2 linked regions of the Cricetulus griseus genome follow. The protein of the gene in region 2 interacts with the protein of the main gene of each other region in a pairwise test. Links are inferred from orthologs where the notes say so. Each region holds a gene or a part of one and is shown on either strand. Other genes may lie near its edges.

Evidence for each region. The genes of interacting proteins can lie anywhere in the genome.
Region 1: the proteins of Sirpa (region 2) and Nol3 interact in a two-hybrid assay, tested with the Homo sapiens proteins (2 studies listed by BioGRID and IntAct). The two-hybrid records come from large-scale screens. The link is inferred for Cricetulus griseus from reciprocal best matches to the Homo sapiens genes SIRPA and NOL3.

Annotation. Positions count from the first base shown.
Region 1 is NC_048596.1:181,562,619-181,568,762, reverse strand, and holds the start of Nol3 (nucleolar protein 3), read right to left. Parts: upstream 3,714-6,144; 5' UTR 3,519-3,713; intron 946-3,518; 5' UTR 916-945; coding exon 908-915; intron 818-907; coding exon 516-817; intron 371-515; coding exon 1-370. Other genes in the region: Hsf4 (heat shock factor protein 4), read right to left, coding at 4,452-4,606, 4,978-5,047, 5,173-5,238, 5,332-5,437.
Region 2 is NC_048599.1:48,989,406-48,994,966, reverse strand, and holds part of Sirpa (tyrosine-protein phosphatase non-receptor type substrate 1), read left to right. Parts: intron 1-3,198; coding exon 3,199-3,549; intron 3,550-5,561. UniProt on the Homo sapiens protein: Immunoglobulin-like cell surface receptor for CD47. Acts as docking protein and induces translocation of PTPN6, PTPN11 and other binding partners from the cytosol to the plasma membrane.

The DNA.
Region 1 (6,144 bases), on a different chromosome or scaffold from region 2:
GACTCATCCTCCTCTTCTTGGAAGTCTGGCTCTGGCTCTGGCTCCGGCTCTAGTTCCGGCTCTGGCTCTGGCTCCGGCTCTAGTTCCGGCTCTGGCTCCAGCTCCGGTTCTAGTTCAGGCTCTGGTTCTGCCTCTGGTTCTGGTTCCGGTTCCATTTGTTGTTCCAGTTCTGGTTTATCCCCTTCAGAGGCTTCAGCTTCTAGTTCTGGCTCCTCTGGGGTCCCAGATTGCACTGCCTCAGAGCCCTCAGGACCTCCGACCTCCTCTTGCTCTGAAGCTCTGGGCAGACCAGGACATGTGGTCCCTGAACTAGGTACCTCAGGCGTCCAGTGGCCTGGACATGGAGGGTCATAGCTGCGGTCCCGGTAGCCTGGGGGAGAAAGTGGAATACTTGAGGCTCAGTTCACCCCTCTGGTTTGTTGCCTCCGCATTCTCTGCCCTCCACTTACCCTTAGTTTTGCCTCACCCCAAGTCACACCCCCATCTCAACAAGGCTCCACCCTCCTGGTGCTCACCAGGCCCCACGTGGTGCCAATCCCAGGAAGGGTCTGGCACACGCACGGTATGCTGGGCACAGCGCAGTAGCTCCTGGCAGGCTGCCTCGCCCTTGCTTTGCACCAACAACAGCAGACGGCGCACCCTGCGCTCTGCATCAGGCAGTGCATCCAAGGCTTCATACTCAGGCCCAGTGAGCACACCCCGGGCCACCAGCGCATCCAGCAGCAGCCCAGAGTCAGCCTGTAATGTATCTACCAGCCGTTTCCGTTCCCGGTCAATGGTCTCCGATGGCCGCTCCTGTACGTTGCCCATGTTTGGGCTATATCAAGGAGAAGGAGAGAAATGGGGGGTGGTGTGGGGGGCTGGCGTTCCCACACGCTGACCTCTCCCAGGAGGGATCTAAGTTCACCTGGACATCAGAGTCTGGATGTTTCTTCAGCGGAAGACCTGGAAGCCAGGGGCACAGAACTCACCCTCCAGCCTGTTGGTTGCCTTTGTTCTGACTCCTTAGATTCCTCTTCTGGTCTCTACCCGTTAGCTGAATGCTCTCACTAGTTAGGACTTCCCTCCTAAGCCCTGGCCACCTGTCCAGCTGGCCACCAGTTGAGACTCAATTTATCCAACTGAATTATTTTTTCTAAACTCAATTCCTTACCTAAACTGGCAGAAAACCCTAGGATTAATTCCTATCTCCTTCCTGAACCCTGCAGCAAACCTTGGATCAGGGCAGCCCAGCTGATCTCTCATACAATCTGAGATGCATCCAAAGCCAAAAGTGCTGAGGCATGCATGCACCATTCACCTAACCCCGGGGTCCATGCATTCCAGAACCTTGCCCTTTCACTCACCACCAGACTGCACTTCAGCATGGTCTGTGACTTGTCCTGGTTCCTTACTATCTAAGCAGGAGAACGGAGTACTCCTGAATTTTAACAGACCTCCTGTCATCAGGGACTCATCTGTTTCCCTGATGGCCTGGCAGTGACACACAGCCATCTCTTACTTGACCTTGAAACATCCAAGGCCCAGCTCTTAAAAGCCATTAAGGAATGCTTACCAAACTTTTAGTTTCCTCTGTGGATTATCCATTTTAAGAGGCTGCCTCTACCAAACTAGGAAATGGGTGCAAATTAATCTACTCTGCTCATCTATTATCATCTAAGGACTACTTCCCGCTTGGGTTGTGTGGCCAGTCAGCATTAAGGAAAAAAGAAATCTGGCCTTAGCTTTGTCCATATAGCATCCTTCTAGGTCTCTTCTGTCCTGAATGTCCCTATCCTACCTTCTTCTTTCCTAGGCCATTGGATCCCATACCCCAACACACACACACACACACACACACACACACACACACACACACACAGCATGCCTCCCAGGTTTCAGGACTCTCACACTATACTGTTCCTGGTCCAGTCACTTTATACCTTGGGTCCCCCTCCACCCCTCATATCTAAGTGACAGCTCTTCCCCAAGGCCACTAAGCACAGACCAGGGACATTTCCTCCCACTCTATCCTGTTGCTGGAGTTTCTTGTCCCCCACCCCAGGTTCCACTGCCACTTGAGCCCCAAATAAACTCATGAACGCTATATTAATTATCAAACTATTGGCCGATGGCTAGGGCTTCTTATTGGCTAATTCTGTCCTAATTATTAACCCATTTCTATTCATCTAAGTATTGCCATGTGGTCTTATCTTACTGGAGAAGAGTTCGGACCATGGACCTGTTACTCCTTCTGGGGCTACATGGCATTTCTCTTTGCCTATGTTTCCCAGAATTCTCGTCTCTTAGTCCCCCCTATCTTCTGGCCTCTAGTGGCCAAACTGTTTTATTCATCAACCAATAAGAACATATATACAGAAGGACATCCCCCATCACTATCCCCCTTCTCTGTCATATGCCCTATAGTCACTCTGCATCAGCTCCTGCCCCTTAAGCCCCCCATCAGCAGTTTGTCTCCCAGAACAATGAGGGCCTCTGAGTACCTCACTCACGGCTACTCCTCCCCTCCCTCACTCCAACATAGTGACTTTGACAACTCTGGGCTAGCATTTATTGTTCCAGTTTTATGGGTGAAGAGACAGGCTCAGAAAAACCCAGTACAACTGCGATCTGACTCACCCTAGCTTAAACTATAATGTCTCTTGCCTAGTTGAATGCCAGGCCTATCCTCCTCATTACCCATCAAATAATCTAAGCTACCTGGTCTGGCTATTTTAATTCCCTCCCTATCACCCTTGCCAGCCAGTTCTTTGCCATTTACATCCACCATTCAGTCCTGCAAGAACATTTATGGTCCTGGCACCTTAGCCTTTGCTGGTGCTGTTCCCTAGGTCTGGGAGTCTCTTCTCTTCCCCTCTATTCTATGGATCTAGCCCTCAAGACTGAAATGCTCCCATGTCTACCCCAATTCTTAAGAGTTTAAAGGTAGCTATGGTTGTACTTACAGGGAAGGGGGTGAGGCCTTCACCTATTCTGGCCAGACTTTGAGGCTGGATCTTCTCTTTTCCCATCTCTGTACCTTAAGTTATTTTTATGTTAGCTGTCTCCCCGGTAACTTAAGTATTACCTTTTGTCTTGTCTGAGAAGCAGAGACCCTAGCTGTTTTAGACCTTAACTCATTGATTTTTTTCCAAGACAGGGTTTCGCTATTGTAGCCCTGGCTGTCCTGGAACTCAGACATCCGCCTGCTTCTGCCTCCTGCGTGCTGGGTTTAAAGGCTGCTGCCACCACCACCCGCCTAGCCCCTAGCTGATTTGGGGCCTCCCTTTGAGGTTATCACAGCTCTAGGGTAAACTCTGGTTATGCCCTGGCCAGTACATCAAAGGACAAGACTAAATGTTACTTTGAGCCCCAGGTGACCTGGCCTGGTCTGGGACCCCCAGCTTGCTGACTGGCTGGGATTTGTTGGGGAACCAGGGTGGAACCTGCAAGAGGTGGTCGCGCATGCGCAACCGCAAGGGTACCCTCCAGCCCTCAACTCAATTCTAAAGCCCTGAAGAAGAGCGGGGCCCACAGACCTTCGAGCTCCGCTGCTGGGGGTGAGGCTCGGTACTCTGCCCAATCTGTTTCCTTTCTCTCCCTGCTGGGTGGAGTCCGGCTTGTGGTCCGGAGCGTTTCGGACAGCCCCACAACGGAGTTGAGCCTCACCGGGGCAGATGACGGTGCAGAAAGGGCAGAGCAAGCAGGGTGGGGACGCGAACGGCAGCTGCAAAGGGGGCGGGGCGGCCAGGGCTGCCGGGAATGGGGAGGGGGAGGGGTGTGCTTCTCTGCTTCGGCGAACTCGGACGCCAGAAGAGGCCACGCTCTGGCAGGGGGACGCATAGTCCGTTCTCTTCCCCGGCCCCAGAGCACCCGGATTTGAGTCAGGGGGTCAGCTCAGCTCACAGTACCACGGGTCCAGCCCATTCTGGGCCTTCTAATTGCTAGGTGCTTTTAATTTGCCCTCCTACGACCTCTCCCTCCGCCTGTCACAGATAAGTTTATAGAAGGGAACTGACTTGTCCAGAGTCTGAGACACGTATATAGAGGAGTTGGATGTGGCGCGGAAACGCCTGCTTCCTGGAGGTTACAGTGGCTGGCATCTCAGTGCAAGTGGGAGAGTTAGCCTCTCCCAAGTACCACCATTCTCCAGGTAGGGGTTTCCATGAAAGTCCGAGCGTCTGGACGTTTCTGGATCCAAACATCTGGACACTTGTATGAACGCAAAGTCGTCGCCCACCCATGACTCTAATGATCTTTGGTTGATAGAAAAAAAGAGAGACCAGAAACAGAGTGGGGGAATGCAGTTTATGTTGTAGAATTCACTGGGGTAGTGGAGAGAGGCTGCCGCATAATGGGGCTTCGCTTATCCATCCCCCCCCCCCCGCCCCGGGAGGGGACGCCGAGAAGCCTGAAGGGGTGTGCTGCTGCGTGCTGGGTCCTTTGTCAGGCTTTTAAGAGAGGTGGAAGCCTCAAGGGGAAGAGGGATTGGCTCCAGGGTCCAAGTAGGAGGCACTGCTTTCAGGGGCATTGTAAAGGGTTAAAGCCCCAGGCACTGGCAGGGCTGCACCCTCCAAATCTGCGGGAATGTCCAGCAGCAGTGGAGTTCCCAGCGTGTGGTCTTTTCCTAGGAGGAGTAGGCTGGGCTTAGGAGAGCCCTCCTTCAGTTAGGATGTAACATTATCCACACACATACACGCTTTAAAGGCCCGGTCTTACTGTCTTGCTGCATAGCCCAGACTGGCCTTGAGCTCATGGTCGTCCTGTCTCAGACTCTCAAGTCCTGGGATTATAAGCACGCTCTACCATATCTAGTTTAAAACGTCATTCTTGACACTACCACTCTCACACAATGATGGCAGTATGGGTGACTCTAGGCGACTCTACAAGGCAGCCTGAATTCAGGCTCATCCTTACCCCACCTAAGCTGCCCAGCCCACCCAATCATGGTAATTCAGATCATGGTGGCTTCTGCCCAGGGGTCCCCATCACCATTACCTACACCTGAAGAATTCAACTCCTTGACTGTCAGCTCAGCCTCAACCCTCTCTTGAGCCAAGGGCTGCATCTGCATGAGAGAACCCCAGGAAGCCGCTGAGAAGGGGGCCCAGAAGTTGAGGAAGAGAGCTGAGGAATCACCGGGGCAATCCTTCAGCCATGAACCAAACCAACCTTCAGCCACTCCTTTCTTACCAGAGACAGCTCCATGTCCAAATCCATCAGGGTCCATTCTCGTCCTTGCAGGCTAGGGCCCAGAACCTGGGAAGAGCTCTGGTAAGTGGTGCCTTTAAAGGCTGCACAGACTGCTCAACTTCATGTATTTCATGTCCTGCCCCAGGCAAAGATACTTACATCCATGGGTGCTATGGGTTCCACAGTTTCAGGGGGAGGTCGAAGCAGCATTGGGGGCAGCAGACTCTCTGGGCTCCGGTTACCCCTATCCAGGCCCAGAGTTCCCCTGTGCACAAAGAACTGCTATTGGTCTATAATACCCACCTCCTATTAGTTCCTAAGGAACTTGAATCATCAGATTTAAATTGTTCCAACAACTAGAATATGCTAAGAGACAATACTTTTCTTCAATCCTCTCCCTAGTAGGGGGGATTTTTTTTTCCTTTTTTTAAAAACTTTTGTGGGAGTGAGACGACTTGTTATGTAACCCTGGCTGGCCTCAAACTCACAGCAATCTCTTGTCTCAAACTCCTGGGTGCTAACCGGGTATCTGTGCTGTTGTTTGATCTTGTGTAGTTTAGGCCATCCACAAACTTTACTAGCTAAGTATGACCTTGAACTCTTGACCCTGCTGCCACCACCTCCTCCATAGTGCTGGCATTACAGCCGGGGGATGTCACCATGCTCCTAAGAGGTTACCTTGATTTGCCTTTGCTTCCTACCTAAGATCTTGGGAGATGTTCCTTTCCTATAGAAGTGTAAATATTAGTAAAGAGTTTTTTGGTTTTGTTTGTTTGTTTGTTTTTGTTTTTGTTTTTTTGAGACAGGGTTTCTCTGTGTAACAGTCCTGGCTGTCCTGGAACTGGATTTGTAGACCAGGCTGGCTTTGAACTCAGAGATCCTCCTGCCTCTGCCTCCCAGGTGCTGGGATTAAAGGCGTGTGCCACCCTCACCTGGCTAGTAAAGGTTATGTGTTCCATATGAGTTTGCATT
Region 2 (5,561 bases):
AAGTGTCGACAGCAGTGATCTTTGATAGCATTATATGAGGCTTTTCAAAAGATTTATTTCATTTTAAACTCTATATACATGAGGGGAGGGTATGTGGATGTAAATGCAGGTCCCAGAAGGAGGCATCGGATACCCCCCCCCCCCCCCGGAGTTACAGGTGGTTGTGAGCCTCCTGTGGGCGCTGGGAACCAAATCCAGGTCCTCTGGGAGATCAGTACCTACTTAATTAACCTCGGAGAAGTCTCTGTAGCCCCAATATTATTATTTAGTTTTTAGGCTTTTTGTTTCTTTTAAATGCTTTGCAAAAGTTTGTGTTTTTTCCCACTGTTGTTTGTTTTTGCATAGCCACCGTGTTATTTTCAACAGTGCCATAGAAAATGTTATCACAGTTTGCTGTGACTGCCTATAACTCACCTGTGGGACAAGTTGTTATCCACTTCCTCATCCCTGCCATTTGCCCTTTGGGCTGTTTCCCCACATTTTCAAGGTCTTTATGGGGAGACCCACCTGTATCTGTGATTGGGTCCTCAAGGAAGTGCCTAGCACACAGTGAGCAGTTGTCATGCTGTTGCTGGTCCACTCGGCTGGACTGCTCCCCACCACCACCATCGCTGTGTGACACCTACAGGGACACTGTCAGGTTCAGGCTCTGGAATGGTTGTGCTCTCTGCCAGGAGGCCAAAGAGAGCAGGAAATGGTTTCTTTGGCAATGTCAGCATGATGACCCCAGGCCTGGCCCACGGGAGTGAATTTTAACAAGCACAGTTCCCAGAACAGAACCTGCAGAGCAAAAGAAAAGCAAATAAGCAAGCAAAAAATAAATAAAGAAAGAAAAGAAAACCCTGTTGGAAAATACACACAGAGATTAAAATAATGTTTGGCACTTACATCACACTTTTAAAATTCTTCAAACGCTTTAGAAACACTGGCTAATTAATTAAGCTGCCTAAATCTGCTTGCAGTTGGGTGAGATCTCCAGAGGAGCTAAAAAAGGAGGGGGGCAAAGGGGAGGAGCCAGCCCTCCCCAGCCCAGATTTTATTGTCACCTGCCCGGGGTGTGATTACAAGCCTCTGGCTGCACCACAAGAATAGCCCTGCTCCAACTTGTCAGCTCCCAATTCCCAAGTTCCTCCTGAGCGTAGCTCCTTCGTCAGCCGCTGACTCACAGCTCTGTGTTCAGTTGAGGATGGGGATAATGATAACAGAGCACCAGCTCCGGGTCACCAGGGTTAGCTCTGCTCAACTGATGATGGAAGAGGCCCGGGGTTGTGCCAGGGTCACAGAGCAAATAAAACCCGTACTTTCTCAGCTCATCAGTGTGTTGTTTCAGCATAGACGTGTTTTGGGTACCCAGTCTCCCTGGCTGGGCTGAAAATCACAGAGATCCACGTGCCTCTCCAGCCTGTTTCTATTGAGGACACAGTATATACCAGGCAGGAGGCTAGACAGTACTTCCTAGTAGATCTACCATCCTAATGGTGGAGAAAATAACAGTCCACAGCAAATCAGATACATAAAGAATACAGCAATGAGATGAGAGGGTTAAGAACTTGAATTAAGCCAGCAAGTATACAGCAAGAGCTTATGCATAGCTCTGGAACAATCTTCATGACAAAGCAGAGGGCAGATACCATTTCCCTGCTTATGTCTGATTGAATGGGAGTCCACTCATGAGTACCCAGCTGCCAAAGAGGGCCTGTTCTCGCCCAGGCCTGTGCTTCATGCAAGTGGTGGTTCCAGTTCAACCGGTCTCCCGTGGTTCACTGTAGACACACTGGAATGTTCATGGCTCCCTGCTATTGGCCGTAGCTGGTGATGTCATCGATGCCCTTGGGAGGCTTCCTGTCTCTTCAAGCCTGTTCCCTCCTTGTGTGAGTCACTTGCCTGTCATTGGCCTACCTTCTAGGCTGGCCAATGCTGCCTGAGCCCCTGACTTCTCTAGTTCTCATTTCTTCCCCTGGAGTGTGAGAATCAGGCTGTGCCCAGGCTGGTTCTGCAGACTCTGCTCACACCTGGCATGAAAAGTGGCCCTCAAGGGGATCCCTGGCTGGGGAAGAGGACGAGACAAGACAGTGAGCAACAGATGACAGGCCTATGCCAAGGCCCTGGGTACCTGCAGTGAGAGCAGAGCCGATCAATCCATGGAGCTCTCTTGCCTTAGGCGCTCTTGCCTTGCCAGTGCAACAATATCAGGCCATGGGCTAACATACAATGTCTCTTTTACTGGTTCAGCATAAGAGGGCCTGGTAAAAGATTCTGCTACAGCCCTGTCAAATAGACAGGTCACATTAGAAGCCAGTGGACAGTCCAGCTGAGACCAAGATCACCTGACTCACTGTTCCTGCTGTTGTCATCCTCCTCATCCTGTCTTGGGTCACCCTGTCTCTAATGTCTGTGTGTTCAAATGCTCATGTTCCACATCCACACATCCAGCAAGCCATCACTCAGGAAAGTAGTGGGGCCACTGTGCTTGGATGGCAAGGGTTTTATCCACTGAGATACCCCTCAGCCCCAAATGCTGCCTTTTAACATGCTCATTGGCCTGAACTTGTTTGTTTCTGTCAGAAGTTCATTAAGATGGGCTCATGGTAAACATTTTACAGACGAAGAAATGAAGGCTAGGGACCATAAATAGCCCAAGCTGAAGCCACACTCACACCCCTGCAGCTCTTGACAGTGGGTGAGCACCTAGGCCTTCTCTGTCGACCTACTGAGGGCCCCCAGTGATGCAGCCACATGCTACTGAGCCCCACCTAGGGCCCGAGTTCTCAGCTCTCCTACCACCAGACTGCTGAGAGCAACTGCTCTGCCAGGACTTGCTTTCAAGCACAGAATCTACCTCTTTGAAAAGCACCACACACACCAGGGTCTCCTACTTCTTCATCTCTACCAAGTTTGTTCCCTCAGTGGGGAATCCAGGCTCCCATTCTAACCGAAAATTTTAGATTTGAATTCCAGAGCCCAGCTCAGACGTGACACTTCCCCAAAGGGCTTGGACACTCTGCTACACTAAGCTGTGTGACTTAGCACTCTGTCTTAGTTTTCTTGTCTTGAGTTACAGGCCCTCATGGGGATTAAACATGATAACGCATGCAGTGTGCTGAACTCAACACCGTTGTGTGTGCTCAATCAGTGAAAATCACTGATGGACTTGCAGGATCCCTTAAGGTGAGTCATAGCTGCCATCTGTCTTTTCAGGAGCCACAACCAAGGACCTGAAGGTGATTCAGCCTGAGAAGTCAGTGTCTGTTGCTGCTGGGGATCAGGCCACGCTGAACTGCACTGTGACCTTGCTGTTGCCTGTGGGACCCATTAAGTGGTTCAGAGGAACAGGGCAAAGCCGACATCTAATCTACAGTTTCACAGGAGAAAAGTTTCCTCGAATTACAAATGTAACAGATACTACCAAGAGAAACAACTTGGACTTTTCCATCCAAATCAGCAACGTCACCCCAGCAGATGCCGGCACCTACTACTGTGTGAAGTTCCTTAAAGCAGAAGCTGACAAGGAACTTCGGTCTGGAGGGGGAACAGTGCTCAATGTGCTTGGTGAGTAAGCCTGTGCCTTCTTCATCCCCTGGTGTGTAGCATCATGTCAGAGGAGAGCATCCCCTATCCCGTGAGTGTGGCTCATAGCAGGTGCAGTGGAGAGCGTGGTCATCATCTGACCTCAACCTCCGGCAGATTAGGGTAGCCAAAGCCAGTTGTTTGCTCCAGGCTCCAGTGCCAGCAAGTAAGAGGACATCTGCACCCTCATCCACCTGCCCCACGGCCCTCTCTTTTCCTTGCACATGGGTCACGCTACCAGTGAGTGCCAGAGTGTAGACCAGAATGCAGATCCCAGCCAGGCTCCTTGCTGCCCAGGCACTAAGCATCTCCATAGATGAGCCAAGAACACGGAGGTGCTGAGGAAATGCTGAGCCTTGAGGAGATGCTGAGCCTTGAGGAAATGCATCACTTTCACAGAGATTCGGATGCCCCTTCCCTTTAAAACCTGAGGTCTGTTAGTGACAGGAAAACCTCTGCCAAATGTCGTCCAGGTCCTTACTCCATATCAGGACACTAAGGGCCATTGTGTAAATGGCTGCATTTTACTCCAGCACCTAGATATTCCACAACTTATTGTAGTCTTCTGTTGGTAGACAGTTCCGTTCTTCCCAGCTGTGGAGTTTGAAAACAGTGCTGCCCTGGATGGCTCAGCCCACATGTCTAGGGCAGAGATACCCATTGCAAGAAGCCTACTATATCACATAATGTGTTCCTTTTAATTTATGTGGATGGTACCAGTTTTCCCTCCAGGTAGCAGCCAACTCTCCTCGCCATCCACCCCTGCACAGAAGCAGGGCAGGTAGCTTGTCCTGACTTTGTAAGTATGACAGAGAGCCCTAGATGGGGTGCCAGGGTCATTACTGAGTATCAGAAGTACAGTGGCCATGAGGACAGGGGACAGAGTCTAACTGTCTGGAGCCATATTCCAGATAAGCCACTCCCTTGCCTTTGTCCTGGACAAGCCTCTCCACACATCACATTGGTGGCCTCATCTGTCCATGACACTCTCACCGAGTGTGTGGTCAGGACTGAAGCAGTGACATCATATCAAACACATAGAACAGTGTCTGGCTTGTAGAAAATATCCCATCAGTGGGAAATGTGTTGAGCTGTATCCATGTGACCTTGGGTGGGCCACTTGCCTTTCCCAGGCCTCAAGTGTTGGTGGGGTTGTGATGAGTTGGTGGCTTTCCATCTGTCTGCTTGCATGACTCATCTATGAAACTTAAAAAAAAAACCCACATATCTCATATCTACCCTAGAAATTCTGCTGTAATTGGCTTGACATGGATCTGAAGTGTGTGTGTGGTGTGTGTGTGTGTGTGTGTGTGTGTGTGTGTGTGTGTGTGTGTGTGTGGTGTGTGTGTGTGTGTGTGTGTGTGTGTGTGTGTGTGTGTGTGTGTGTGTGTGTGTGGTCACACCTACCTGTGTATGAGCAGAGGACTGAGGAGAATGTGTAGTGTCCTATTATATTACTCCCTGCCTTACTCCCTTGTGACTGGGTCTCTCATTGATCCTGGAGCTAGGTTGGAGGCCAGCAGACCCCAGTGATCCTTTTATATCCTCACCGCTCCCACAGCACTGGGGTATAGGCACAACCATCATGTTCAGCCTTCTTTTATTAAAAAAATATTTTTTCACTTTACATACCAACCCAAGTTTCCCCTCCCTCTCCTTCTCCTGCCCCACTTCCAACCTCCCCGACCATCCACTCCTCAGAGGGATAAGACCATCCTGGGGAGTCAAGAAAGTCTGCCATGTCAAGTTGAGGCAGATGTCCAGCCTTTTTAAAACATGATTCTAAGGATTTGAACTCAGGTCCTCATACTTGCTCAGCAAGTGTCTTACCTTCACATCCATCTCAACTGCTTGCATCTGAAGTTTCTCACCACAGCCAGGCTGCGATACATGTCTTGAAACCACAGGAGAGATGCTATGACTTTTCTTTTTCCCCTGGCTAAGCTGTTCCCCCATGAAGCCAATGCTCAGAAAGCTTTATTCCTCAGCATTGC